7 linked regions of the Neurospora crassa OR74A genome follow. The protein of the gene in region 1 purifies or fractionates together with the protein of each later gene. This does not show direct contact. Links are inferred from orthologs where the notes say so. Each region holds a gene or a part of one and is shown in the gene's direction. Other genes may lie near its edges. The genes, in order: NCU02685, NCU03042, NCU00505, NCU06622, NCU07683, NCU07382 and NCU00210.

Evidence for each region.
Region 2: the proteins of NCU02685 (region 1) and NCU03042 purify together in Saccharomyces cerevisiae (affinity purification with mass spectrometry, with the first as the bait; 3 studies listed by BioGRID). This does not show direct contact. The link is inferred for Neurospora crassa OR74A from reciprocal best matches to the Saccharomyces cerevisiae genes BRR2 and HSH155.
Region 3: the proteins of NCU02685 (region 1) and NCU00505 purify together in Saccharomyces cerevisiae (affinity purification with mass spectrometry; 7 studies listed by BioGRID, with this or other methods). This does not show direct contact. The link is inferred for Neurospora crassa OR74A from reciprocal best matches to the Saccharomyces cerevisiae genes BRR2 and SMD1.
Region 4: the proteins of NCU02685 (region 1) and NCU06622 purify together in Saccharomyces cerevisiae (affinity purification with mass spectrometry; 5 studies listed by BioGRID). This does not show direct contact. The link is inferred for Neurospora crassa OR74A from reciprocal best matches to the Saccharomyces cerevisiae genes BRR2 and LEA1.
Region 5: the proteins of NCU02685 (region 1) and NCU07683 purify together in Saccharomyces cerevisiae (affinity purification with mass spectrometry; 7 studies listed by BioGRID, with this or other methods). This does not show direct contact. The link is inferred for Neurospora crassa OR74A from reciprocal best matches to the Saccharomyces cerevisiae genes BRR2 and LSM4.
Region 6: the proteins of NCU02685 (region 1) and NCU07382 purify together in Saccharomyces cerevisiae (affinity purification with mass spectrometry; 7 studies listed by BioGRID, with this or other methods). This does not show direct contact. The link is inferred for Neurospora crassa OR74A from reciprocal best matches to the Saccharomyces cerevisiae genes BRR2 and LSM2.
Region 7: the proteins of NCU02685 (region 1) and NCU00210 purify together in Saccharomyces cerevisiae (affinity purification with mass spectrometry; 3 studies listed by BioGRID). This does not show direct contact. The link is inferred for Neurospora crassa OR74A from reciprocal best matches to the Saccharomyces cerevisiae genes BRR2 and CBC2.

The regions. Positions count from the first base shown.
Region 1 is NC_026501.1:3,198,499-3,202,434, reverse strand, and holds the start of NCU02685 (pre-mRNA splicing helicase), read left to right. Parts: upstream 1-1,136; 5' UTR 1,137-1,250; coding exon 1,251-3,936. Other genes in the region: NCU02686 (hypothetical protein), read right to left, coding at 85-283.
Region 2 is NC_026501.1:8,343,984-8,347,933, reverse strand, and holds the start of NCU03042 (U2 snRNP component prp10), read left to right. Parts: upstream 1-1,150; 5' UTR 1,151-1,491; coding exon 1,492-3,950. Other genes in the region: NCU03041 (hypothetical protein), read right to left, coding at 257-907. UniProt on the Saccharomyces cerevisiae protein: Contacts pre-mRNA on both sides of the branch site early in spliceosome assembly.
Region 3 is NC_026501.1:8,193,174-8,196,352, forward strand, and holds NCU00505 (small nuclear ribonucleoprotein Sm D1), read left to right. Parts: upstream 1-1,333; 5' UTR 1,334-1,460; coding exon 1,461-1,474; intron 1,475-1,592; exon of another isoform or gene 1,593-1,693; coding exon 1,694-1,861; intron 1,862-1,939; coding exon 1,940-2,129; 3' UTR 2,130-2,679; downstream 2,680-3,179. Other genes in the region: pkr1 (ER membrane protein), read left to right, coding at 270-773; NCU00504 (hypothetical protein), read right to left, coding at 2,788-3,179. UniProt on the Saccharomyces cerevisiae protein: lays a role in pre-mRNA splicing as a core component of the spliceosomal U1, U2, U4 and U5 small nuclear ribonucleoproteins (snRNPs), the building blocks of the spliceosome. Also binds telomerase RNA and is required for its accumulation.
Region 4 is NC_026504.1:1,833,531-1,837,138, forward strand, and holds NCU06622 (U2 small nuclear ribonucleoprotein A'), read left to right. Parts: upstream 1-1,232; 5' UTR 1,233-1,531; coding exon 1,532-1,610; intron 1,611-1,728; coding exon 1,729-1,769; intron 1,770-1,880; coding exon 1,881-2,141; intron 2,142-2,258; coding exon 2,259-2,393; intron 2,394-2,449; coding exon 2,450-2,692; 3' UTR 2,693-3,086; downstream 3,087-3,608. Other genes in the region: NCU06621 (hypothetical protein), read left to right, coding at 1-540; NCU06623 (hypothetical protein), read right to left, coding at 3,087-3,608. UniProt on the Saccharomyces cerevisiae protein: Involved in pre-mRNA splicing. Associates to U2 snRNA in a MSL1 dependent manner and is required for normal accumulation of U2 snRNA. Required for the spliceosome assembly and the efficient addition of U2 snRNP onto the pre-mRNA.
Region 5 is NC_026504.1:2,247,658-2,251,021, reverse strand, and holds NCU07683 (small nuclear ribonucleoprotein), read left to right. Parts: upstream 1-1,329; 5' UTR 1,330-1,520; coding exon 1,521-1,523; intron 1,524-1,608; coding exon 1,609-1,749; intron 1,750-1,912; coding exon 1,913-1,963; intron 1,964-2,077; coding exon 2,078-2,275; 3' UTR 2,276-2,864; downstream 2,865-3,364. Other genes in the region: NCU07684 (hypothetical protein), read right to left, coding at 3,281-3,364. UniProt on the Saccharomyces cerevisiae protein: Component of LSm protein complexes, which are involved in RNA processing and may function in a chaperone-like manner. Component of the cytoplasmic LSM1-LSM7 complex which is involved in mRNA degradation by activating the decapping step.
Region 6 is NC_026501.1:6,141,317-6,144,278, forward strand, and holds NCU07382 (U6 snRNA-associated Sm-like protein LSm2), read left to right. Parts: upstream 1-1,136; 5' UTR 1,137-1,218; coding exon 1,219-1,271; exon of another isoform or gene 1,272-1,327; coding exon of another isoform or gene 1,328-1,341; intron 1,342-1,712; coding exon 1,713-1,963; intron 1,964-2,052; coding exon 2,053-2,090; 3' UTR 2,091-2,462; downstream 2,463-2,962. Other genes in the region: NCU07383 (transcriptional regulator Ngg1), read right to left, coding at 1-116; NCU07381 (DNA cross-link repair protein pso2/snm1), read right to left, coding at 2,523-2,962. UniProt on the Saccharomyces cerevisiae protein: Component of LSm protein complexes, which are involved in RNA processing and may function in a chaperone-like manner. Component of the cytoplasmic LSM1-LSM7 complex which is involved in mRNA degradation by activating the decapping step.
Region 7 is NC_026503.1:3,018,642-3,021,971, forward strand, and holds NCU00210 (nuclear cap binding protein subunit 2), read left to right. Parts: upstream 1-1,387; 5' UTR 1,388-1,578; coding exon 1,579-1,647; intron 1,648-1,745; coding exon 1,746-1,867; intron 1,868-1,955; coding exon 1,956-2,349; 3' UTR 2,350-2,830; downstream 2,831-3,330. Other genes in the region: NCU00209 (hypothetical protein), read right to left, coding at 1-44; NCU00211 (mitochondrial ribosomal protein subunit L31), read right to left, coding at 2,892-2,944, 3,015-3,244, 3,317-3,330.

The DNA.
Region 1 (3,936 bases):
GACTGCGCTTTTGTGAGAGTGTGTGGTATTCTTTGCGGGCTTTGATGTTCGCGCGCAATGCTTCGAGGAATTCCCTATACAGACCTCTAGTATCTTGTGAGTAGGAGGGTACTTCACTTGACTCGGTGAGAGACAACGGTTCTGTCAGCGTTGCTCCGTCTTTCAAGCCCGAACTGAGGTGAAGTGTCAAGATCCGTCTGATATGGGCGGCTTCCTCGCGAGGCCTGGTGTATGGTTGCAGCACCTTCTGAACAGCTTCTAGCGTTTCTCGAAAGGAATCCATCGTGTAGATAATTCCAACTTGACCTGTCTATCAGTATTGGCTTCTTTTCATATCAAGGCATAAAACAGCTTATTGGTCAAATTGTGAATGACTGTGATCATCGATGAGCTCAGCCCGATGTGAGCAGGACGGACATAAGAGAGCGTGGTATGAACCAGAGGTATCTCAGTTTCCAGCATTCAAATGATTGTTCAAATAGCTCGTGAAGTAATACGATTCGTCCCTCTTGGTGGTATGAAAAAGAGGTATCGTAGAAGTCGGAGCCCATGGATCAGACTTCTGCCACCTATCTCGAGTTGCTCGATGGGTTGAGATCGTGTTGATGATTGTGCCTACCACCTTTAGGATGTTTGTTAGTGCACCTTGACCAACCTCTACACACCCCACGGGGTCTCCGCCTATGCACTAACACCGCCCTGACAGCAAGGTCAAGCTCCAGCTGTTCAGTGTGTTTACGTGCTGTCCAGGCAGCCAATGAGAGTCGACGACGGCAGCATTGCATAAAAATTTCCAGCCGTCATGACTGGAGCCACACCTATCTCTGCACCGCTTGCCACCCCTACCAAGCCAAGTAAGTTCCTGCTGGCTGGCAAGAACCACGCCTCTGGCTCAACCTTTCCAAACTGAACGCCAAACTCCAACCTTCCTTTCGCGACAACCGCGACAGACTTCTGTCGGAAACCCATCATCTCTGTTTCCGCCCGACCCCAGATTCTTGATCTACCCATCGATGCGACCGGCGAAATACTACTTATCAGCCAGCAAAACCAACGCTTGGTTCGGGCCGGGCTCGGGCTAATTTATCGCCACTGCGTGCACGCAAGAACAAGCACATTTTATCCCCAAAGGCCGAGTTGAAGATATCACCAGATCGAGACTCTTCCATCCGCTACGACCTCTACTTCGATCTTGACGTATACCTCAAAACATTTCATAGATTTCTTTTTTTCTTCTCCGAGCTGGCAAGATGACGGACCACCACCGCGATGTGTCGCAATATAAATACTCGGCCATGTCCAACCTGGTTCTCCAGGCGGACCGTCGTTTCGTCACGAGGCGTACCGATGAGGCCACGGGAGACCCCGAGTCCCTAGCCGGGCGTCTGTCCATCAAAGATATGGGCTCCAGAGTCGCTCGCGACTCAGCACCAAAGCCCAAGAAGGCGGGCGCCATGCCCGACGTCGAGCGGGGCAGTCTAAGGGAAGGTGCTGATATCCTGCAACGAGAGAAGAAGAAGGGCAAACTCGAGTCCGCTACAAGAGGTGGAGGTATTCTTACTGGCGCCGACGCGCTTATCGAAGGTCTCCGCTACCGCCCTCGAACGCAGCCGACGCGCGATGCCTTCAACCTTATCCTCACCATTGTCGCCGAACACTTGGGCGACGTGCCCCATGAGGTCGTTCGCAGTGCTGCTGACGCGGTTCTCGAATATCTCAAGGATGACGACCTGAAGGATTTTGACAAGAAGAAGGAGGTTGATGATATTCTTGGAGTCTCGATGGGGCCCAAGCAGTTCAACGAGCTCATAAATCTCGGCAAAAAGATCACGGATTACGACGCTCAAGATGAAGACGAGGATGCGGGCGATGCTAGGCAAGAAGGCGACGACGAGATTGACGGTCGCCAGGGTGTTGCGGTCAACTTCGAGAACGATGAAGATGATGATGGCATGGTTGATGTTGTTCGGGACGAATCTTCCGATGAGGAGGATTTTGCGGAGGATGAAGAGCTGCCTGACAGCAACGAGGTGGTCGATGGTGAAGGAGGTCAGGAGGAGGTGGTCGAAGATATTCTGAACGGCGAGGCCATGGTCATCGATTCAGCACCGGAAGGGAAGAAAAGCGGGTCTGACGACAATTCCATACCCGCCAGAGATATCGATGCGTTCTGGTTACAACGCCAGATTGGCCGGCTATATCCCGACGCACATATCCAGCATGATAAGACAATGTCTGCGCTCAAGACTCTTTCCGGCGAGCCCGATGAGCCAGGTGGTGAAGAAAAGCAGCTCCGCGACATCGAAAACGACTTGATGGAGCTTTTTGATTACGAACACCACGAGCTTGTGCAAAAACTCATTGCTAACCGGGAGAAGGTCGTATGGCTTACTCGGCTGGCCAGAGCTGAGAATGAGGAGGAGAGAAATACGATCAAGCGGGAGATGGCTTCTGAGGGTCTGCGTTGGATTCTGGACGAGCTGGAAGGCAAGACCGACGGCGGCCAGAAGAAGATCAAGATGGACATCAAGATGGACATTGACTCGGGGGCCTTTGCTGATAAGGAAGGCCAAAAGCCTGAGCGTCCCGAGGGACAGCTAGTCGGAGGTCTGCAGCCACGCAAGTTAATAAACCTGGAGAACCTCATATTCGATCAGGGTAACCACCTTATGACCAATCCCAAAGTACGACTTCCCGAGGGCTCGACAAAGCGCACCTTCAAGGGCTATGAAGAAATCCATGTGCCCCCACCAAAGAAGCGCAACGACCCCAGCGACGCCCATGTCCCGATTTCTGAAATGCCTGAGTGGGCTCAGATACCTTTCAGCACGGCCAAATCGTTAAACAAGATTCAGTCAAAGTGCTATCCTACTGCCTTTGGTGATGATGGAAACATGCTTGTCTGTGCTCCGACGGGCTCTGGCAAGACCAACGTGGCGATGCTCACCATCCTTCGTGAGATCGGGAAGCATAGAAACGAAGCCGGCGAGATCGACCTGGACGCCTTCAAGATCGTCTATATCGCGCCCTTGAAAGCCCTTGTTCAAGAACAGGTCGGCAACTTCGGAAAGCGTCTCGAACCATTCGGTATCAGGGTGGCCGAACTCACTGGCGATCGGCAACTTACTAAGCAACAGATCTCGGAAACGCAGATTATCGTTACGACCCCCGAAAAATGGGATGTCATCACGAGAAAGGCTACTGATCTCTCCTACACCAACCTGGTCCGCCTGATTATTATTGACGAGATCCATCTCCTTCACGATGACCGTGGTCCTGTGCTTGAAAGCATTGTCGCCAGAACCATCCGCAAGACAGAGCAGACCGGTGAGCCTGTTCGCATTGTGGGCTTGTCTGCCACTCTGCCCAACTACCGCGACGTAGCGAGCTTCCTGCGTGTGGATACGAACACCGGGCTCTTCCACTTCGATGGTACCTTCCGCCCTTGCCCCCTCCGTCAAGAGTTTATCGGCGTCACGGACAGAAAGGCCATCAAGCAGTTAAAGACCATGAATGATATCACCTACCAAAAGGTCTTGGAGCACGTAGGACAGAATCGCAATCAGATGCTCATCTTTGTCCATTCCAGAAAGGAAACGGCAAAGACCGCCAGGTACATCAGGGACAAGGCTTTGGAAATGGACACCATCAACCAGATCTTGAAGCACGACGCCGGAACCCGTGAAGTCCTGAGCGAAGCCTCCAACTCTGTCAACAACACCGATCTGAAGGATATCTTGCCCTATGGCTTCGGTATCCATCATGCTGGTATGAGTCGTGCTGATCGTACCGACGTCGAAGATTTGTTTGCCAGTGGCCATATCCAGGTTCTTGTGTGCACAGCCACTCTTGCTTGGGGTGTCAACCTTCCAGCCCATACCGTCATCATCAAGGGCACGCAAGTGTACTCGCCTGAAAAAGGTAGCTGGGTTGAGC
Region 2 (3,950 bases), about 5.1 Mb from region 1:
AAATGCGGAGGGTTCAGCCTGTCATCCACCGACTGGAAGCGCCCCATCACAGAAGTCAGGTTCGTCGACCACTCAATGCCCCGCATAAGCAGGGGACAGAGTCTGCTTGATTTTGGGCATTTGTATCGGTATCCATGCCATTGAGGGGCCGAGGCCGACTTGGCTACCTTCTTGATGCCCCGACTGCTAAGATTCAAATGGACGCATTCGAGACGGTGAATAGACCAAGTCATGAGCATGCTACATATGGACTTACCGTGATGTTGGAACAGTCCTGCTCGACGAATAACAGCGTTGTCAGATCAACAAACCCAACACCTTGTTGCGCCGAAATGGCCGAGCTCGCGCCATATCCTCGAGCTGCAAGACTCATGTCATCTGCCCTATCGCTTTGCCCGTTGGCATCAACGCCGTTTGACTTGTCGTGGTGGTGATGGTCATGATCGTGGTCACCAGGTTTGTGACAGTGCCAAAACTCCATCATCTCAGCCCAGTTCTCACTCGGGAGGTCTTTCCACACCTTGACAACATCTCGCTTGACAACAACGGCCTGGCATTGTCTACAAACAACTTCGGACCCGGCCTTCAAATCGGTGGCTGTCCAAGTGGACGACTCGGCTGATGATGCATCCGTGTATGTTCCTTGACCCAACGGTAACCTCCAGGAGAGCGCAGAGGCTCCAGGTCTTTGTATTGGCAGAATGGCGCCGCCAAGGGCTACCTTTGCGGGTAGATGTAGTGTATGTGACTGTCCATGGTGTGTGAGCTCGACATTCTCTCCATCCGCTGCCACCACTACTCGTGTTGACGCATCGCTTGCAGAGCCCAGTGAGATGGCCAGCGATATCTGGCGGATATTTGAAAGCAACTCTACATACAGTAGCGGCGTTGCAGGTTGGGATGTCATGCTGGTCGAAGCGAAGATGAAGCGAGGTTGAGAGAGGTGAAATGGATGGAAGTTGAGGGTGTGGAAAGTGAAAGTGCTGCCTCCCCACATGAGCTAAGTGGAAATGGATGGAAGCTCCCCTGCTCCCCACCGCGATCGAAAGCGTCGAGGTCTGGACTGCTTACCTAATGCACCTGGAGCGCCACTTGGAGTGGAAACTTCAGGTGCAGCCTTGCCAAGCCCGTGTCAGCTCTCTCACGGTCACGTCCCGTCACCAGTCGCTGGCCAAAATTTCAGGGAAGGCGTGTGCACCGTACCGCATCCACTGCGCCCGTCTTCAGCCGTGACCTGCATCCCTCTGCCTCCACCGTCTATTCCCTTGCTGATAGCCTCAGTTATACACGACAAAGTGTCAAAACTGTCACCGTCAATTTAGCTGCCCCGTCAGTTACCATACCCGATCCCACCCAACCACCCACGGGCAGCGCCACATCATCACGTCCCGTTTCCTCCCGACCACATACCATCATTCACCCTCGCGGCGCGCTGGACATTCTTGCGACGACCCCGACCTGACATGACACGAGGAGGATACGGCCAGCACCATGTCGGACTCGGATTTTGAGCAGATCAAGAAGCTCCAGCAGGAGCGCAATGCTGCTGCTGCCGCCAAGAGCGGTTCGCGCAGCTTTGATCCTGCCAACCAACGATCCGACAACAGCACCAAAGCCAAGCTGGGAGAAATATGGGACACCGATCTGTATGAGCGCAACACCGGCGACAAGTTTGCGGGCTACCACACCACCCTGCCTGCTGCCGATGGCGACGACGAAGAGATGGAAGATGCCGACTCCGGCCGCCGCCTAGTAGGACAGTACACCGCCACCCGAGCTCAGATCGATGAGTTTGCACGCGGCGATGGCGTCGAGGAGGATGATCCCCTGGCTGGCCGGGGCGAAAAGAGCAACCGCATCACCGACAGGGAGACCGACTACCAGAAGCGCCGATTTGACCGCGTTCTGACCCCTACACGAGCCGACCCATTTGCTGCCAACCGCCAAGCAGGTGCCACTGATGAAGGCGAGAGTTACCGGGAAATCATGGAACGCCGCGAGCTTGAGCGAGAGGAAGAGCGCGTACGGCGCGCCATTGAACAGAAGATGAAGGAGGGCGGTCCGGTCGAGGAGCACCAGCCTACCCTTCAGGATTCCGGTAACAAGGAGAACGAGGAGGCTGGCTCTACTGAAGCTGCGGCTGGTCGGAAGCGCAAGAAGAGATGGGATGTCGCCTCTACAGATGATGCTACCCCGGCACCAGAGCCCAAGAAGAGGTCTAGGTGGGATCAAGCACCATCTGTTCCCGCTCCAGGGGCGCCAGGGGCGGAACCCAAGAAGCGATCCCGCTGGGACCAGGCGCCTTCTGCCACTCCTGTTGGTAATGTCGGCCTAGCTACCCCGATGCACCCTACCCAGACCGCTGTCGTGCCCCCAGCTTTCGGGGCTGATGCGGCCGGTCGCTACGCACCACTCAGCGACGAAGAGCTGGACGCGATGCTTCCAGGCCCCGAACAAGGTTACAAGATTCTTGAGCCGCCACCAGGGTATGCCCCCGTGCGAGCACCGGCACACAAGCTGATGCAGGCTCCGGCCCCAACAACGGGCTTCATGATGCAGGACCCCGACAGCGGACGGATGACAGGCCAGCAGGTGCCAAAGGAGATTCCCGGTGTGGGAGACCTGCAATTCTTCAAGCCCGAAGATATGGCATACTTCGGCAAGCTCACCGACGGAGCAGATGAGGAAAGTTTGAGTGTCGAAGAGCTCAAGGAGAGAAAGATTATGAGGCTCTTGCTGAAGGTCAAGAACGGTACTCCTCCTATGAGAAAGACTGCGCTCAGACAATTGACAGATAATGCTCGCAACTTTGGTGCCGGCCCCCTCTTCAACCAAATTCTTCCTCTGCTCATGGAGAAAACATTGGAGGACCAGGAACGCCATCTTCTCGTCAAGGTTATTGATCGTATTTTGTACAAGCTCGATGACATGGTTCGACCATACGTTCACAAGATTCTCGTCGTTATCGAACCCCTTCTTATCGATCAGGACTACTATGCCCGTGTTGAGGGTCGGGAAATCATTTCGAACCTCAGCAAGGCTGCTGGTCTTGCCACAATGATCAGTGTCATGCGTCCAGATATTGATCACGTCGATGAATATGTCAGAAACACTACTGCCAGAGCCTTTGCCGTCGTTGCCTCGGCTCTGGGTATCCCAGCTCTGCTCCCCTTCTTGCGAGCTGTGTGCCGAAGCAAAAAGTCGTGGCAGGCTCGTCACACGGGTGTCAAGATCGTCCAGCAGATTCCCATCTTGATGGGCTGCGCAGTCTTGCCCCATCTCAAGCAGCTGGTTGACTGTATCGGACCCAACCTGAACGATGAACAGACCAAGGTCCGCACAGTGACCAGTTTGGCCATCGCAGCTCTCGCCGAGGCATCTAACCCCTACGGTATCGAGAGCTTTGATGATATTCTCAACCCCCTTTGGACCGGTGCCCGAAAGCAGCGAGGCAAGGGTCTGGCGGGTTTCCTCAAGGCTGTCGGTTATATTATCCCGCTTATGGATGAAGACTATGCCAACTATTACACCAGTCAGATTATGGAGATTCTGCTACGAGAATTTGCCTCTCCTGATGAAGAGATGAAGAAGGTTGTGCTAAAGGTGATTTCACAGTGCGCCGCCACCGATGGAGTAACGGCTGGGTACCTAAAGGAGCATGTGCTGGACGAGTTCTTCAAGAGCTTTTGGGTACGGCGTATGGCTCTGGATAAGCGCAACTACCGACAGGTCGTTGAGACCACTGTCGACATTGGCCAAAAGGTTGGTGTCAGCGAGATTCTGGAAAGGATCGTAGCCAACCTAAAGGACGAGAGCGAAGCCTACCGCAAGATGACGGTGGAGACGGTTGAAAAGATTGTGGCCTCTCTCGGTGCTGCCGATATTGGCGAGCGTCTGGAAGAACGCCTTATCGATGGCATTCTTCATGCGTTCCAGGAACAGAGCGTGGA
Region 3 (3,179 bases), about 5.0 Mb from region 1:
GTCTGGTTGGGCTGCACATCCTCATCCGTCCCCTGCCTTCTGTCCCTCGTCATTTATAAAGGTTGTGAGGCCGTGACTAACCCTCTCTTCGACTGTAGTCATCCACTACGAACCATTGACTTTACTGCGAGTTTGTCTCTTCGTTTGTCCGCATCGCTTCCACGGCGCATCGTCCTGAACACGAATCGACAACAAGAATTTTCCTCTACACGACATACCTTCACGGTCAAACTTTTCAACGCCGACATAGCGCCAGCCTAATCTTCCCAATGACATCCTTCGTTACAAATCTCTGGGAGTCGATCTTCACTCCGGGGCCGACTCCCACCCTCCTTATCGCGACAAATGTCACATTTGCCGCTCTGCAAATTGTCCTGGCGTGCCTCCTCTTTGCGACATGGAGTATCCACTTCGTAATTCTCTCGGCTCTCTGCGGTGGACTCTGGGGATCCATCAACTGGTTCGCGGCGGAACTGAAGGTGCACCAAATCCAAGAAGAGGAAAAGGCGAGAAGAGCCAAAGAAGCAGCGCCAACTCCAGTCACATCGGAAGACAGCGAAACAGAAGTAGAGGCAGCTACATCGACAGCTAGCCTCACGAGGCAGGAGTCAATTGCAGAGGCGGTCAGCCATGAGGTTGAGCCTATCCAGCAGATTGGAGAACTGAAGCACAGAGTGGTTGAGGAGACACCGAGCCTGGGCACTAAGAGCGGCGTCAGCACGGAAGATGAGTGGGAGAAGGTTTCGGAGAACGAGAACGAAAAGGACAAGTGAATATCCTGGCGATTGAGCGGGGACCGACCACACGCAGAACGTACAAGCGAATGTCGTGTTAGCGAAGTTACCATGGCATCCTGTAAATAGTGTCATGGTCCGCTTTCGTGTTGGAGTTGAGCGACGATGGCATTTACACATCCACCCTGTTTTCGTTCTTCATTGGATGAAAGGAGAGGCAGTTGAAGGCTGTAAGCCCTATGTTCGTTTCATAGTCCTTATCCTGCCATGAGGCATCATGATCTGTGCAACTACAGCTATAGCTTCAGAGACAAAGTCATAGTAAACAACACCTTGTTGTTCGGCGTGGCAGTTAGCCAGCCCATCTTCGTGTACCCCAATTATCTGGTTGCTTCAACTCAGCACATGAACAGATCATGTGCAGGGCAGGCAATTTATGGATAGCTTGAAACCCATGACTTCCAGGGTTAGGGGCTTTCAAGCCGCCGTTTGCCTGTTCAGCTCGGCTCACGTGATTGAGCACGGGCTCTATCTTGGCGCGTAGCGACGGCAGGCTATCTGCTCCACCCTGACGCTTGGATGGTTGTGCAAGCGTCCAAGGAAGCTCGACAAGCCTTCTCCCGTCGCGACTGTTGATTGACAAAGTAACAAGCTGGTAATCGAGACCTTGTCACCACCAATTCCATACAACACATATTCGATTACGCGTTGTCCAAATAAGTCAAGATGAAGCTGGTCAGGTAAGATTTCTCCTTGCTTTCTGATACTTCGCTACATGTACCCGATACCCCATCCCACCCGACTTCATTCCTATTCTCTTGCACGACGCATGCTGAGCTTTGAGTCCTCGCCTTCAAGGCTGCCAGCCCGTGTTCGCGCGCGTCCATGCTGCTCTACTAGAAAAAGAACACCAAGGGCACCAGGCTGACGAAGTGGAATCCGTTACTTCAACACTGCAGATTTTTGATGAAATGCGCCAACGAGACGGTGACGATTGAGTTGAAGAACGGCACAATTGTACACGGCACTATCGCCTCGGTCACACCCCGCATGGACACTGCGCTTCGCAACGTCAAGATGACCCCCAAGGGCCAGGACGCTGTGGCTCTAGATGCCATGAACATTAGGTAAATCAACCCTTTCAACTAAGGGGGAGTGGCCCTTTTCAGTTTTCGAGGGCATCACTAACTATTGAAACCCTACAGGGGCTCGACCATCCGTTACTTCATACTCCCCGATTCTTTGCCGCTCGATACATTGCTAGTTGATGATTCCGTGAAGCCCAAGAACAAGGCGAGAAAGGAAGCGGACCGCAGCGCCGGCGGCAGAGGTGGCCGTGGTGGCCGTGGCAGAGGAAGGGGAATGGGTCGCGGCCGCGGTCGTGGCCGTGGCTAAGCGGATCTCGTTTCTTTGGGATCGGCCACGGCGTACGTCTCCCTGGACGACAGAAACGTGCGAATTAGATTTTTTTTCAAAGACGATACGATGCTATACTACGGTTAATGGTGGATTTTTTTCGGTTTTTTATGCCCCCTTCGGTCGACCGGCTTGACCGTCTTGGTAGGGAAGATCAAGGCCGGCCCGAAATAACGTCCGGTGGCGACGACACGACAAAATCGACGATGAGTGCGCTTCAGAAAATCGAGGAGCATATCCCAGATCTTCACTTGAGCGACACTCGAGATTCACCTCATTCGCATCGAGTGTTACACACATAAACACCACTCCCCCTCATCGGATCGGAGCAGAGGGCAAGCATTGGGATTTCGTTGCGGCGTTCTGGACAGGATAAAATCACTTTGCTAGCGGGAAGGGAGAGAGAGAAAGGCGCGCCCAACCGCCACCGGAATGAACTATTTTATGTATCACAAAACAGATAGACGGCGATATATGCCTACTGGAGAAGGCGGCACAATCAGCAACTCTCTATACCAAATTTCCCCCAGAATTTTCGAGCCTTGTACGTGACTGACCATCGTCCTTCCCCCTCTTCCACCCTCTTCAACAGCTTCCTCCCCATCCTCAACTCATCACCAGCATCTCATCCCTCCATTCACCTCCAAACCCTCACAATCTGCAACTTCTCCCAACCCGCCTGCCTCCCACTAGTCCCCACCGTCTCTGCCTTCCACTTCCCTTCACCACCCATCACCCTGATCCTCCCTTTGACCTCCTCCGGCTTATTCTGCGCACAAAGCAGAATATACGCCACCCCCCTCTCGCTCAACACCCCCGGCAAGGCCTCAATCAGTCTATCCGTCGTCTCCATCCCATCCCTCCCTCCAGCATACGTCAACTCCAAGAGATGTGAGTCTTCCTCAAACGTCGTTTTCTCCTTCAGTGCCTGCAACCCTGTCGGTGGCGGCGCAGGCAAGTCAGGCGTAGGGACGTAGGGCGGGTTGAAGACTAGGACATCTACCGATCCGGGACGAAAGGGGGAGACGA
Region 4 (3,608 bases), on another chromosome or scaffold:
AACAAGTCTCTTCCTCCGCCGCCATCTGAGTCCCCAGATCACCTGTCTCAGCCGCTTGCTACACCTCAGGCACCTACAGTCGCGAGTGTACCTCAAGAACAGCCAAGCGTCTACCGCTCGCCTTCAATGCAATCCTCGAATGCAGAGAACCGACCCCCATCGCCGAAGCAAATGACCCCAATAGTCGAACGTCATGCTCTAGCACCAATGGCTACCACACCGGACAGGCCCACTTCTCCTTCCAAACGGACGATTCTGGGTGCCCTTCAAAGCACTAAGCCTTGGACCGCGGCAGATCTAGACAATATATTCTCGCCCAACAAGAACGACTACGATAAGGAAGACGGCATTGACAAACTCTTGCACAAGGGCAGTGAGCTCACGAGCCCGGAAAAGCGGATGACCGTGGAGGAGTGGATCTATCATAATGCCAACTTGGCTGAGCAGAGATTGAAGAGGGAATGCGAGGAGATGGTCCTGCTGTTTGAGAAGCAGGGTGCCAGAGCGATGGAAGCTTTGGAGGGGCTTATCGTCGAGTAGTGAGTGAGTGGCACGACCCTTGGGCACCAAATTATCAGCATAAAAGGACGAGAGGTGTGGATTCGCATACTAAATCCCGCTTCTGGTTCAAGGTCGGGCAAATTCTGTGTGTGTGTGATACCAGGTAATGGACATGGAACTTGCGTGATGCGTTACATAGCAAGCTTATTGTGTCAGTGACTTTGGCTTCTGGTTTGAGTAGCATGGAAGGCGTCATTCGACGTCCGGTTAGACGATGTAGGGATAGCATTGTTGGTGACGTTACAATGGAATTGCACAATAGTGTGCATCATAACGAAACAAGCCCTAAAGTTACAGCTGCAGGTTCTTTAGATGATGCCGGGTTGGGGATCTGGACTAAAGAGCGAGTGTGATGAAAGTGGTTTTGGTTTTTCCATAGCGGGCGGTTAGTGGTTGTGAAAGCGTTTACACCAAGAAGTAGAACGAAAACTTGACAGCAACCTGGCGAGATAGCGAGTAAGAAACATTTTAGGCCAACAAGAGGGCAGAAAATGAACATATAATATCTGACTCTAGTACCCTAGTCTTTCAGACACAAACCGTGTCGACTCTGTTTAGGAGCTCCGTGTGGTTGCGACTTGCAAGTAATCCGACGCGCAAGGGTTAGGGTTACTACATCGTCCGTTTTTTTTTTGCGGCGCTGTCCATGACTTCATTGGGGCAGGCAGCCTTGTCAATCTACTTTGGTAACTTCACTACAGCCACCAATTACGAACCACGCGACGCGCTTCAACCTTTTGCTTCTTTAGTTGACTTCCATCAATTTCAATCTCGAAGGCGAACACAGGACATACGGCAATTCTCCTGGCTGTAATCAATAATTAATCACCTGTTTGCAAAGCCCCTTTGCGCCGCCGTATTACAAAAGCACCACCAGCAACAACCATCACAAGGTACCGACCGGCATCGCAGTAGTAGTAGCAGCGACAGCTCGACAGCTCCCCGTCGTCGTTGCACTCCCGTCGTCACAATGAGGCTGACGGCAGACCTTATCAACAACTCCCTTTCCTATCTCAATCCGCTTAAGGAGCGAGAGATAGACCTCCGAGGTGCGTTCCATCGAGAAGAGCAGATACTGCACGGTTGATCTTCAAGTTTCCAAAAGCGCGTACAAAGAACAGAGTTGATATATCGAAAACCTATGTTGGGTTGGGATACATGCAATAGGACACAGAATACCTGCTATTGAGAACTTGGGCGTTGCTGGGGTAAGTTTCTCCCTTCTCCTGGTTCTTCCTCTACTGCTAGTCCTGCTACTGGTAGCCCGTTTCAACCAAATTACCAATTAATGCAGTTTGCTAATCCGGTCGCTACTACAGCCCCACGATGCCATTGATTTCACCGACAACGATATCCAAGTGCTGGGCAACTTCCCGCTCTCTCCCCGCATACGCACCCTCCTGCTCGCCCGCAACAGGATCGCCCAGATCCAGTCGACCCTACCGAATGCGACCCCGAACCTGAAGAACCTCGTCCTGGCGTCCAATAATATTGGCGAGCTGGCGGATTTGGAGGTGTTGGGAAGGTTTCCAAGGCTTACGCACTTGGTCTTGACGGACAACCCCGTTACCAAGAAGGAGGTACGTCACACAACGCCCTTTCGTCGCCCAGTGTTATGCGGCTGAGAGAGAATCGGAGACGGGGGTGGCAAATGGAATGAATGTACGGAATGGCTGACAATGTTTGTCGACACACAGAACTACCGCTACTGGGTCCTCTGGCTGTGCCCTCAGGTTCGCTTTCTCGATTACGTCAAGGTCAAGGACGCCGAGAGGCAGAAGGCGAAGGAGCTGTTTGGAACCGCTGATGAGCCGACGGAGTTGGCCAAGACGGTATGTACCTTGTCTTCTTTTTCAATGTCATGACAACCCTGCTAACATGCAAACAGATAAAGGGAATCAAGAGCAAGACCTTTGACGTTGGCGCCAGCTCCGCCAACGGTGCGGCCGGCAGTGGTCCTTCCTCGAAACTTTCGCGTCTCAAGCTCACAGAGAAAGAGAAGAAGAAGTTGCAGGATCTGATCAAGAAGGCCGACAGCTTGGAGGAAATCATCAGATTGGAGAAGGCGCTCAACGAGGGACGGCTGCCACCTGGCATTATCGCCGAGGATGACGATGCCATGGAGGAGTAAGGAGGAACCAAGGTGACGGGCACCTGACGAACGTGGTAGATCAGGTTGCTATATGTTCGTGATATGATGGCTTGCAGAGGTGACGAAAAGGGGGAGGACGGCACTTCAAAGAGCTTACCATTTGTCGGCGTTCGGTTCTAGATGGGGCTTACTGCAAAATAACTGTATACCAAATTGCGCAAATTTGCTGGGTTGAAACAGAGATAGTGAAACATGATAGTGGTGTCATGATTTCACCGCAGCAATCGGAGCGGCCTTGAGGAAAGGGACGTTAGGACGAGCATATCAAGGGCCCATGGTCTTTGATTCGGCAACTCTACACCTCTTAACGTCTTGTACTCGCCCGGATATTCAACACGTCTATTCGGCTCTGTATGTATGGACAGTCACTCAACTAACCCGTCATATCCACATCCCCATCATGACCCCGATACTGCTGTGACGCCGCCTGCCTCATCTCCATCTGCAACTGCGCGCTGGGATCCTCGTCCGACGTAGTAGCTGGCGGTGATGCCGACAAGATACCCCTATTCATGCCGCTCATCACACCAGGAGTAGAACTAAATGGTCGTCCCGAAGCCGACGACATGCCCACCACACCCGTCGTGACACCCATATTGGTAATACCGGTATTAACCCCGCCAGCACCGAGTCCATTCACCGGCGCCGCCAGCCCTCCAATGCTTCCACTAGCACCGCTTCCTGTACCAGCAGGCAACCCCCCATTCATAGACATCAAGATGGACGTTTGCTGCAACCCGCCGGACCCCTTTTGCTTCTTGGCATTCGGCAGCATCGCCATCCTATCCCGCTCATCTCCATGATCACCCACTTGTCCCTGCTCCAAAGATAGCATAACCCCCTCGGGAGCTGCCAGTCCTCCCATAACCGGTCCAGGCGCCAAAACGACCGCGGC
Region 5 (3,364 bases), on another chromosome or scaffold:
TTTATGTCATTTACATATCACAGTGAAATCCTCTTTCCCCCTTGTTTCTACCAGGTCTTGTTCTCGACTATAATGAACACGGCCAGGGCGCGTTGTCAAAACCAACTGAGCCATCGAAAAAGAAGGTTTGTGTAGGGCGTTCTACATGTCATTAAATCAACGGTCCAATATGCGAGAAATCCTCAAACTGTGACACTTACCGTTACTCTGAGGGGCGCGAGTTCACTAGGACACTGGGCTCAGAGAAGACAGGAGACACGGCAGATAATGAGATAAACAGCAAAATCAGTGAAGAGCAGGATGCGTTTCCTTGTTAGATCCCACTTATTACAAGGCTCAACAAATCCCTTCGAAACGATACATATGATAGTGCTATAGCCTCAAGTTCCAAACTATCTTTATCAGTCCACTGTTCAACAAGAGCTGCAATAAGGACTGGCGGGTGACTTTTTGGCAATGAATTACTACAGTCTGCTAGTACCATAACACGCACTCTACCTACGACAAATATACACTAGATATGGAGGTAAAGTCTAATGTCTCATTAGTGTCCGAGACTTCTTATTCAACTTTTAAATGTTGGAGGTCAATTAGTCCGGCTATCATTTTCTATATTCAACTCGGGAGCCTCAACTAAGCTTAAGCGTCGTTTGATAGGAACTCTCCTCAAGGGATATGGCAAACTGATTCAACATAGGCGCTTGACATGCCCATGAGTTACAGAAGACTGCGGGGAGTTCTAACTTTGAGCTCCAGCTATAGGGCGCAAAGCGCAAACACTGCATTACTCATTCAGGGCGTGTGGCTCAGTTGGTAGAGCGTTCGCTTAGCATGTTTCACAGCATGCGAAAGGTCCTGGGTTCGATTCCCAGCTCGTCCACTCTTTTTGACTCGATGTCTCTTTGCTCCCGCACTTTTCTTGAAATTACTTGGATCTGGATAACAGTATTTCCAATTGCAGTGAGAACCCGTTTTTTTTTTACTTACTGCTACTCTGAAGCTTTAGATAACAAATATACGTGGGATATTATTCCTTTTTGGCTGTCCCACCTTTTCTGTACACTAAGTATAGTGTATCTCGGGTTGCCGGTTGGCTACAGTCGAACCCCCTGAAACTGCATGTAATCCAGACCGCCAAAATCCATGCACTAAATGGCGTATATGCAGTTTCTGGAGGCGGGGCTTGGGCAAAAATGGCGGATTCAGACCTGGAAATTCTATGCACTAACTAGCATATATGCAGAATCTGGAGTATGCAGTTTCAGGGGGTTCGACTGTATTTGATTTTCGGCTCCCAGATATCCTGGTAAACCATGTCATTGCTCCACGCTACATTTGTTACTCCATAAGCTGTTGCGGCCGGCAAGCTCCAGCTACGCCACGGCGCCAGGACAGGCTTCCCGTCGCGGGCGCACTTCCCTTTGGTCACTACATCCAACACGTCAACTTCTCCTTTTGGTCTCCGTCGCAACAACAATAGGCAGCCTAACTAACGGCTGTCGATTTCCAAACTCACTACTATGGTACGTCGAATTCTCATTGCATATAGCGTCACTTCGGTATCCCTCTTGGAAATGTACTAACCTTTTGCTCCCTCGCAACAAACAGCTACCGTTAGGCATCCTCACCGCGGCGCAAGGCCATCCCATGCTCGTTGAGCTCAAGAACGGCGAAACGCTCAACGGCCACTTGATCCAATGCGATACATGGATGAATCTGACGCTAAGGGAGGTTGTTCAGACCAGCCCGGTTAGTGCTACCTCCTACCTCCGTCCCTCCGTCCCTTCGTTCGAGCGATGATGCACAGTGATGATGATGATGATGAGCGAGTGGATGAAACAAGCAATCCAACACGTCGAAGAGAATGTCGGGGACAAGGCAGCTTACCAACGAACTTTACATGACGTAATAGGAAGGCGATAAGTTTGTGAGGTTACCAGAGGTTTACGTCAAGGGAAACAACGTAAGTCTCGACATTGTCCCCTCCCCCTCCTTTTCTCTCTCTTCTTGCCTCTTGCCAGGAAAGGAGTCAACGATCAATCGACCAGCGGTTTCTAATGGTTATGGGGACAAACAGATCAAATATCTTCGAGTACCGGACGACGTGATCGACATTGCAAGGGAGCAGCAACACAGTCAACACGGTGGACACAGAGGCGGCCGCGGCGGCGGACAGAACAGAGGCGATTATGGCGGCCGTGGCGGCCGTGGCGGACGAGGAGGGGGCGACAGAGGTGGTCACAGGGGAGGCCGCGGCCGTGGCAGGGGCGCATGAGGTGGAATTCCATGTTCTTGGGACAGCGAGCGAGGCGCAACGACCACCCAACGTAGGGAAGTACGGCCTTTTGATAATGATACGATCGATGAACGAGAGGCGCGAGGGGCCGCCGCGATTGTGCGTAGGGGTGAGAGGAAAGGGATGGAGAGCATCAGCCAAGAAAGAAACATGGGCTGCATCTTGCACGGTCCGAATGGGCTTTCACACAAAACCCAGGCGGGGTTGAATGGGGCACGAAGACCATCTCCAGCGACAGACATGCATGATGGTTCATGGGCAGTCATCGTGTGGGCTTTTTGGAAGAGGCCTGGCTCGGACACATAGACCGGACTAGGTGTTCGATGCATCAGCATGGAATTTACGGCACGAAGGATATGACTATTTTAAAGCAAAAGATACCCAAGCTTGAAGTTCCTGGTTGATTTTCTCTTGCACCTAACACAAAAGGCACATTGTATCGCATTATCGTCATTTGAGAGATTCTTTTCCGTTATCAACAAGCATTGAAAGGATTACAAAACTGGCGGCGTCCTGAGACCTCCATGTCACACAAAAATGATGCACTTCGCGGGCGACTTGTTGCAGCTTTTGAGGCAACGAAATAATTGCCCATGGCAAGGAAACAGGTGGTACGGAGCGGCTACAACTATGGAAGGAGTTACTCCAAAAAAAAAAAAAAAAAAAAAAAAAAAAAAGAAGAAAAAGAAGAAAGAAGGAAGAAAAAAAAAGAAATTAGAGGAAAAAACTCAAAAGTTGAGGTCGTACCCGGAATCGAACCGGGGTTGCCGGAATGTTCTGAAGGAAATCAGAATCCGGAGTGATAACCGCTACACTATACAACCTTGTGAGTTGTTTTAGTTGATTTGTTCACTCGCCTGATTCTCTTATAATGACCACTACCAGATTCTAGCAAGCCATTGAACTAGTTATATAATCTCCATTCCGATGCTTTTGAGTATTTCAGTAATTCTTCTTTTTTTTTTCTCTTTTTTCTTTTCTTTATCAAGCTGCAGATGCGCTCGATGTTTTGAGATCGCCAGCATCCAAAGCCTCTTCATACGCTGGACGCACGGCGCCCATCATCGT
Region 6 (2,962 bases), about 2.9 Mb from region 1:
CCGGCGCTGGGCGTGGTGTTGCGACTGCGCGGGTGCTGGTGCTGGCGCATGACACCCGCTCCACCCTTCTTCCCCGTGCCCTTCTGGCTGCCTTTTTGGCCCGAGGGCGGCGGCATTGTTGCTGCGTAATCGGCAACCCCGCGCGCGCTCCTGGCTTTTTTTTTTGCTGGCCGCTGGCTGCTGCGCACCTTACTACGGGTGATCCTGGTGCGGCGACTTCCGGCCCGTGTGCTGTCGGGGGTTCCAGGTATCTGTTGGGATTTTAGGGAGTTCCGTGGAAGAGGATCCGGACTCGGGGGGTCTTGGGGGGGCTGGCTGCTCTGGGTCCTCGGTAGGTAACGGCGATGTCGATATGGCGTCTGTCTGTCTAATAAGGGGTATCAGGACCCGGGAAGGCTGCCGCGTCCACGGCGTGCTCGAGGGATGCTCGTCGCGGTCTGCCTCGCTCGCTGAAAGGCGGTCGATGCTGGTCGATACACAATCCAATGACGGCACAATAACTGATGGCACATCCCTGTCGACCCTGACTGTCGCTCGCGGGGAGTGAAGAATCGTGTGGGAATCAGGCAATGATGGGACTGGGCCAGAGCGCTGGGCGGGCCTCTTTCAACTTCCACTTGCTCTGTAGCGTTCTGCGTTGTAAGTGTACGTAACTAAGTTAGGTGACTAAGTTACGTAGGAGAGGTACACTTCAAGTTGCAAGTGGAATTGGGGTTCCAGAGTTGCCCTTGCCCTGGGCCTCGCAATGCTATTTCCGTCGGGTGTTTGAGTTTGTGTGACTGATGTGCCCGTGTCGCGCCTGTGAATTCCTCGCGTTGCCGTTACTCAACAGACAACTGAACCTGTGCCACACTTTGGTTGTCGGGCACTTCTTTCCTGCAGAGGTAGAGGTCAGTTGGACGGCACTTGGGTTCGACTTCAACATGGGCACTTTCAGGAGGCAGGGCAGCTCTGTAGTGTACAAACTAACTGTGCCATACCTGCCCACCTCCCCGGGCTGTCAGCTGCCAGTAGGTAGGTACTTATCTACTGTGGTAGCACGATACGGGCACCTAGGTCTTGGCGGATAGAGAACAAATGGTCTGTGCTCCCACTGCACTTGATGGACGCTCGGACTCCCAAAGCGCGGCTCACCTCTTTCCAAGTCCTCCACCGAGTTGGGCAGTCGTCTCCTTGGCGTTTACAGTTCCAGCAAGCAACGGGCACCTCGACCAATTGATGAATGCCCGTCACTTTAGTTCTGTTGTCCAACATATCTTAACATCATCAAGGTTGATTTCTTTTCCCGTCACTCATTTGGTAACATAGCAACACTGATACCAACAACATGTTGTTCTTCAGGTAATCTAATTTTCTCATCCAACCCAAGAGGAGCATTCGTGTTCGTTCATTACATCAAGTCATTATTCCCTAGTGGGGTCAAGTCTACGCTATGTTGTGATGCTGCTTTGAAGCCGAGCATGACAAGGTCTGCGACGCATATCAGGAGTTGCTTCACATACCTGGACCAAGCCCTGCCTGAGTTGACACATGATGACTTTTCAACATACCACACTGTTTACCAACATTGCTCATCAATCCCTGCATTCCCTTATGAATACGGACCAGCGCATCGACACCACACCACATCTTCCCACCCCCCCTTCTTCCCTTTCAAGCACCCACCGCAACATCTAGTCAAACAAATACAGACTGACACTTCACGCAAAAAGCTTCTTCAAGACCCTCATCGACCACGAGGTCACGGTCGAGCTCAAGAACGACATCCAGATCCGGGGCGTGCTCAAGAGCGTCGACCAGTTCCTCAACATCAAGCTCGACAACATCCAAGTCGTTGAAGAGCTCAAGTATCCGCACCTGAGCGCGGTCAAGAACGTGTTTATCCGCGGGTCTGTGGTTCGTTACGTTCACCTGCCCCAGGAGAGCGTGGATATCCAGTTGTTAGAGGATGCCACGAGAAGAGGTATGTTTTGTGTGTTGAGTGAGAAGGGGCTCGTGGTAGCTGCATGGAAGGGTTGAATGGGTTGGATGCATACTAACGCCGTGTTGCAGAGGCGGCCAACCAGGCTACGAAAGCTAAGCAGGGTTGAATGTGAGAGGAGAGGAGGAGGAGGAGGAGGGGATCATTCGCTCTAGAACCACTTCACGGAACGCACACCCTAACTTTCGACCCGTTATTGTCGCTACCAACGTTGTCTATCAACAGATGCGATTGACGAAGCTGGAAGGAAACGCGCTCGAGAATCAAGGGCAAACGAAGAGGGCCAGAGACCAGGATGGGGTGGTACGGGAGAAGACAAGCAGGCAGGGCGTCAAGAGTGTCACATAGGCGGATACCAGATGAGGAATGAACACGGCTGAGTTGAACCGAGAATCAGGCAAGGGCGGTGTTCTCCATGTGTGAGTGGAAACGCAAACACAACGGCCGAATAGAGTTTCAGACAGATTTACAAACAACCAACCGACCGCACTCCCCCCTTTCCCAACCCTTCCGCACACCACCATACAGAGCACCGCACAGATTACCAATAAACCTCCCCACCACTCGCATCCTTCCCATCCCAAAACTTCTGCCCTTTGGTATCTTCCCCTTTCTCTCCCTTTCCCCCTTCCTGCTCATGCAAAATCCTCACCAACCCCCCTCTCCTCCTTTCCCCCACCCACCGATCAATCCACCCCTTCATTCTCGCTCTACTCGCCTCGCTCCCCACATTCACCGTCGGCACCACCTTCTCCACCCTCAACGCCATCAAAAAGAGCGCCAGCTCCCTGAACGAGCTGTGCTCGCTATAGGGAACCCCAAAGCACATGGCCTCCCTCCCGCTCCCGCGCTGGGGGACCACGTTCTGTGCAAAGAAGCGGGGGCGGAACCGGTTACCGTGGAGGAGGTGCGTGGTTGGCAGCGACGATGGAGGGAGACTGGCGGTGACGGGGACGGAGGCGGGAGGTCCTGTGTCGATGT
Region 7 (3,330 bases), on another chromosome or scaffold:
GGCTCCTGGAGCCAGGGCGCCGAGAAGCTCCGGATTTTGGGCATCCCGACTGTGCTTGGTGGTTTTGTGCTAAGAGCTGTCTGTTGTCGCTATACTATCCAACTCGAGCCTGATGAATCCTACAGATGACGGTGGTTCGTGTGGCGCAATGAAAACCGAAGTTGGTGTCTGGCTAGGCAGAAATAGTAGCTTGTGTTGAGGTCCTGCTATGTCCTAGCATGCACGGGCCGGTTTTTGTCGTCGTGCTGCACTTCGCTTTCTCTGCTGAAGTAATGTATGTAGGTGGGGAGGTAATTGGCTATGTAGGTAGGCAGGCGCACTATGGTCGAGGTACGTATGTATTTGATGTACCGGTACTATTAATGTGATGGCGGTTCTCGGTTTTTGAAGATGAAAAAAAAAAAAAAAAAAGGTGATCAAGAGCAAGTAGAACAGAAGCCAAGGGAGGGAAGACAAGGAGAGAGATTGGGATCCCTTTTTGAAGTGGCAGGCCCCTCGATCGATCCCATGGGAGAAAAAGCCAGGAAAGCGAAGTTTGCTAGTGGTCTCGGTTGGCTGGTCAGGATGGTAACAACAAGGTTTGACTAGCGTGTAGTGCTACGGACCTGATGGATGCCCGTGGATGGACGAGTGCTGGATGCCACTATTGTCCAGTCCGAGCCAGTGCTGTAAATGAGGCGTCCAGGGCGTCACTAGAGGCGTCCGCTTCCGTGCCTATGCCGTATATTTTCCGTTGCTTGCCTTGATCGATCGTGTTAGCTTCATTTTAGCGCGTTTCCACTCCTTCCACAGCCCTTTAGTCCGTTTCAACTGTCCGCCGGTGTTCAGTCCAGACCGTGCTCGCCGCCTCGTCTCACACCATCGGTCATTGATCAACAGGAGACAGGCAGGCCGCCCGGGATGAGAGGGGATGGAATGGCCGAATGGAGGTCTTAACGGAGACCTAGCTGTATACATACTATAAATGGTAAGCCCGAGGTAGGTACAGTTGTGCTGTGACGCGCCTGTAAATTGGGTGCCAGATTGCGGTCCAATCGGCTGGCAATGGTTGTTGGATCAACGACAAAGCGCCTCCACCAAGTCCTCCTGCCCTTGCTTCCATCGCTCTGCCCTTGCCTGCCGTCGTCATATTTGCGGGCACCTCGTAAGATAGGGTACCTGACCCACCACCAACGGCTTCCGTCGCCCGTTACAGTGCCAAGACTACCTGGATTGCCATGCAGTGATGTCCGATGCACTGTGACACTGTGCGCCAACAGGACTAAGTGTAACTGACCTGAGCTGAACTGAACTGTGAACGAAGCCTGCAGTGCTGCTGTCGCGGTACACGGGCACACCAGTCGCGCTCAGAAAGTAGCTGCGCCTGTACTTCCACTTTAGCGGGCAACCTAAGTTACCTCTTAGGTAGGTCCAATTCCATTGGCAAGGGAAACCACTGCATCATCCCCATCGACGTCTCAGAACTCCAAACCATTGAACTTCCACTTGGGCTGACAGCTTTTGATTTTCCTTCTTCTTCGCAGTTGCAGGGCACCTTTCACCCAAGAGCAGATAATCCATCTTCACTACCAGGTAACCATGTTGAACACTCGCCAAAGGAGCACCGTAGAGCGCCTTGACAGGCCAAGTGCATACTTTTTCAACAAGGTGAGTGCTCCTGACGGCATTTCCATGCCCAAACATTGCCAATCTCTCCTGTCCATAATTAGCACCCCGTCGACCGCTGACCCATCCACTCAACACAGAATAGGCGCAACAGACGTCACGACCGGGACCACCGCGATGGAGAAAACGAAGACAGTAACATGCATCCCGAAGCGTTCGATGACCCGTTGAAGGATGCGACCACGCTCTACGTCGGCAATCTGCAAGTTTGCCCCACGCTGCCAGTCCTTAATTAAAAAAATCAAAAAAAAATCAAAAGAAACAAGAACTAACCGAATGTACCTCGGCAGTTCCTTCTACACTACCGAAGAACAGGTTTACGAACTCTTTAGCAAATGCGGCGAGATCAAGCGCTTGGTCATGGGCCTCGATCGCTTACAAAAGACACCGTGCGGTTTCTGCTTCGTCGAATACTACACCCATCAGGACGCTCTCGATTGCATGAAGTACATTGGCGGCACCAAGTTGGACGAGCGCATCATCCGAACCGATCTCGACCCAGGCTTCGAGGAAGGGCGACAGTACGGCCGTGGAAAGTCGGGCGGCCAAGTTCGTGATGAGTACCGTGAGGACTACGACGAGGGCCGCGGTGGTCTTGGCCGGCAAATCCAGGCCGAGAGAATGAGGGAGCATGACCACAAGCGCTACGACGATAACGACGAACAATACGGCCGCTTGCGCTAGAGTTGTCATTGCATGGGAGTTACGTGGGACAATGAGGGAGTGCATCATGATCCAGTGCACAGATATTCAACCAGTCGTCATGACAAATCGACACAAAATATGCAAGCCGGCTCTGAAATTACGAATTTTGTTCATTCAGGGCAAGTGGAGGCGGAACAGAGAAGCGTAAAAGACAAATACCCCCTTGGAAGACATGATATTCGTTGTTGTATTGGTATCTTGCTATGGTATTTCGGGAAATTATTGATTTCCCATCCATTCGGTATGGCTCCACACATTCTTCTGTGATGCTCGCCTGGCCGTGTTTGCGCTGCTCTCTGCAGTGGTATCTCAACATGGAGCGAGCAGGAGTGTCCATGATGGACAGGACCTCCAAGTCAGTCAGTCTCTTTGCGAGACGAGACAGGAGGCCTCCTCTTCTTTGCCCCAAGCAAACGGTCCTGTTAGCGGTATCTCCAATGTCACCCATGCCATTTCGCTGCGTAATGTTACAAGTGATATACATGCTTGCACGATATCGTCCATCGTCCGGGTCGAAGGTCTTAGTAACCGGGAGGGTTGACTCTCTGGGACACACGGGTCCACTTGGGAAGCTCTGGAAAAGGAATGCCGTATTAGCCTTGGTCTTTGACTGCTGTGAAGTGATGCACAAGGGTGGCCCGTACTGTGGATGCCCTTGCGGTACCTCTTCTCCTTGCGGTCGAAGATGGTGTACTTGTCCTTGGGCAGCATCTCGGCCTCGGTGGGCATCTCAGCCCTCCAGCGTTCCACCGCCTTGACGGTCTCACCCTTCTTGGCAAGAGCGTTCTCAATGGTGGCGACGACGTTGTCAACGGCCCTCAGTCTGCGGCGCTGCCTGAGCTTCTGGAACTTGGACATGCGCCATGGGATCTTCCTGTTTGCCGCGACATGATTAGCATTTCCGGTAGAACCTTTGGCGCAACTGCAACATAGGGTAGTCGCTTACCAAAGAAGACCCCC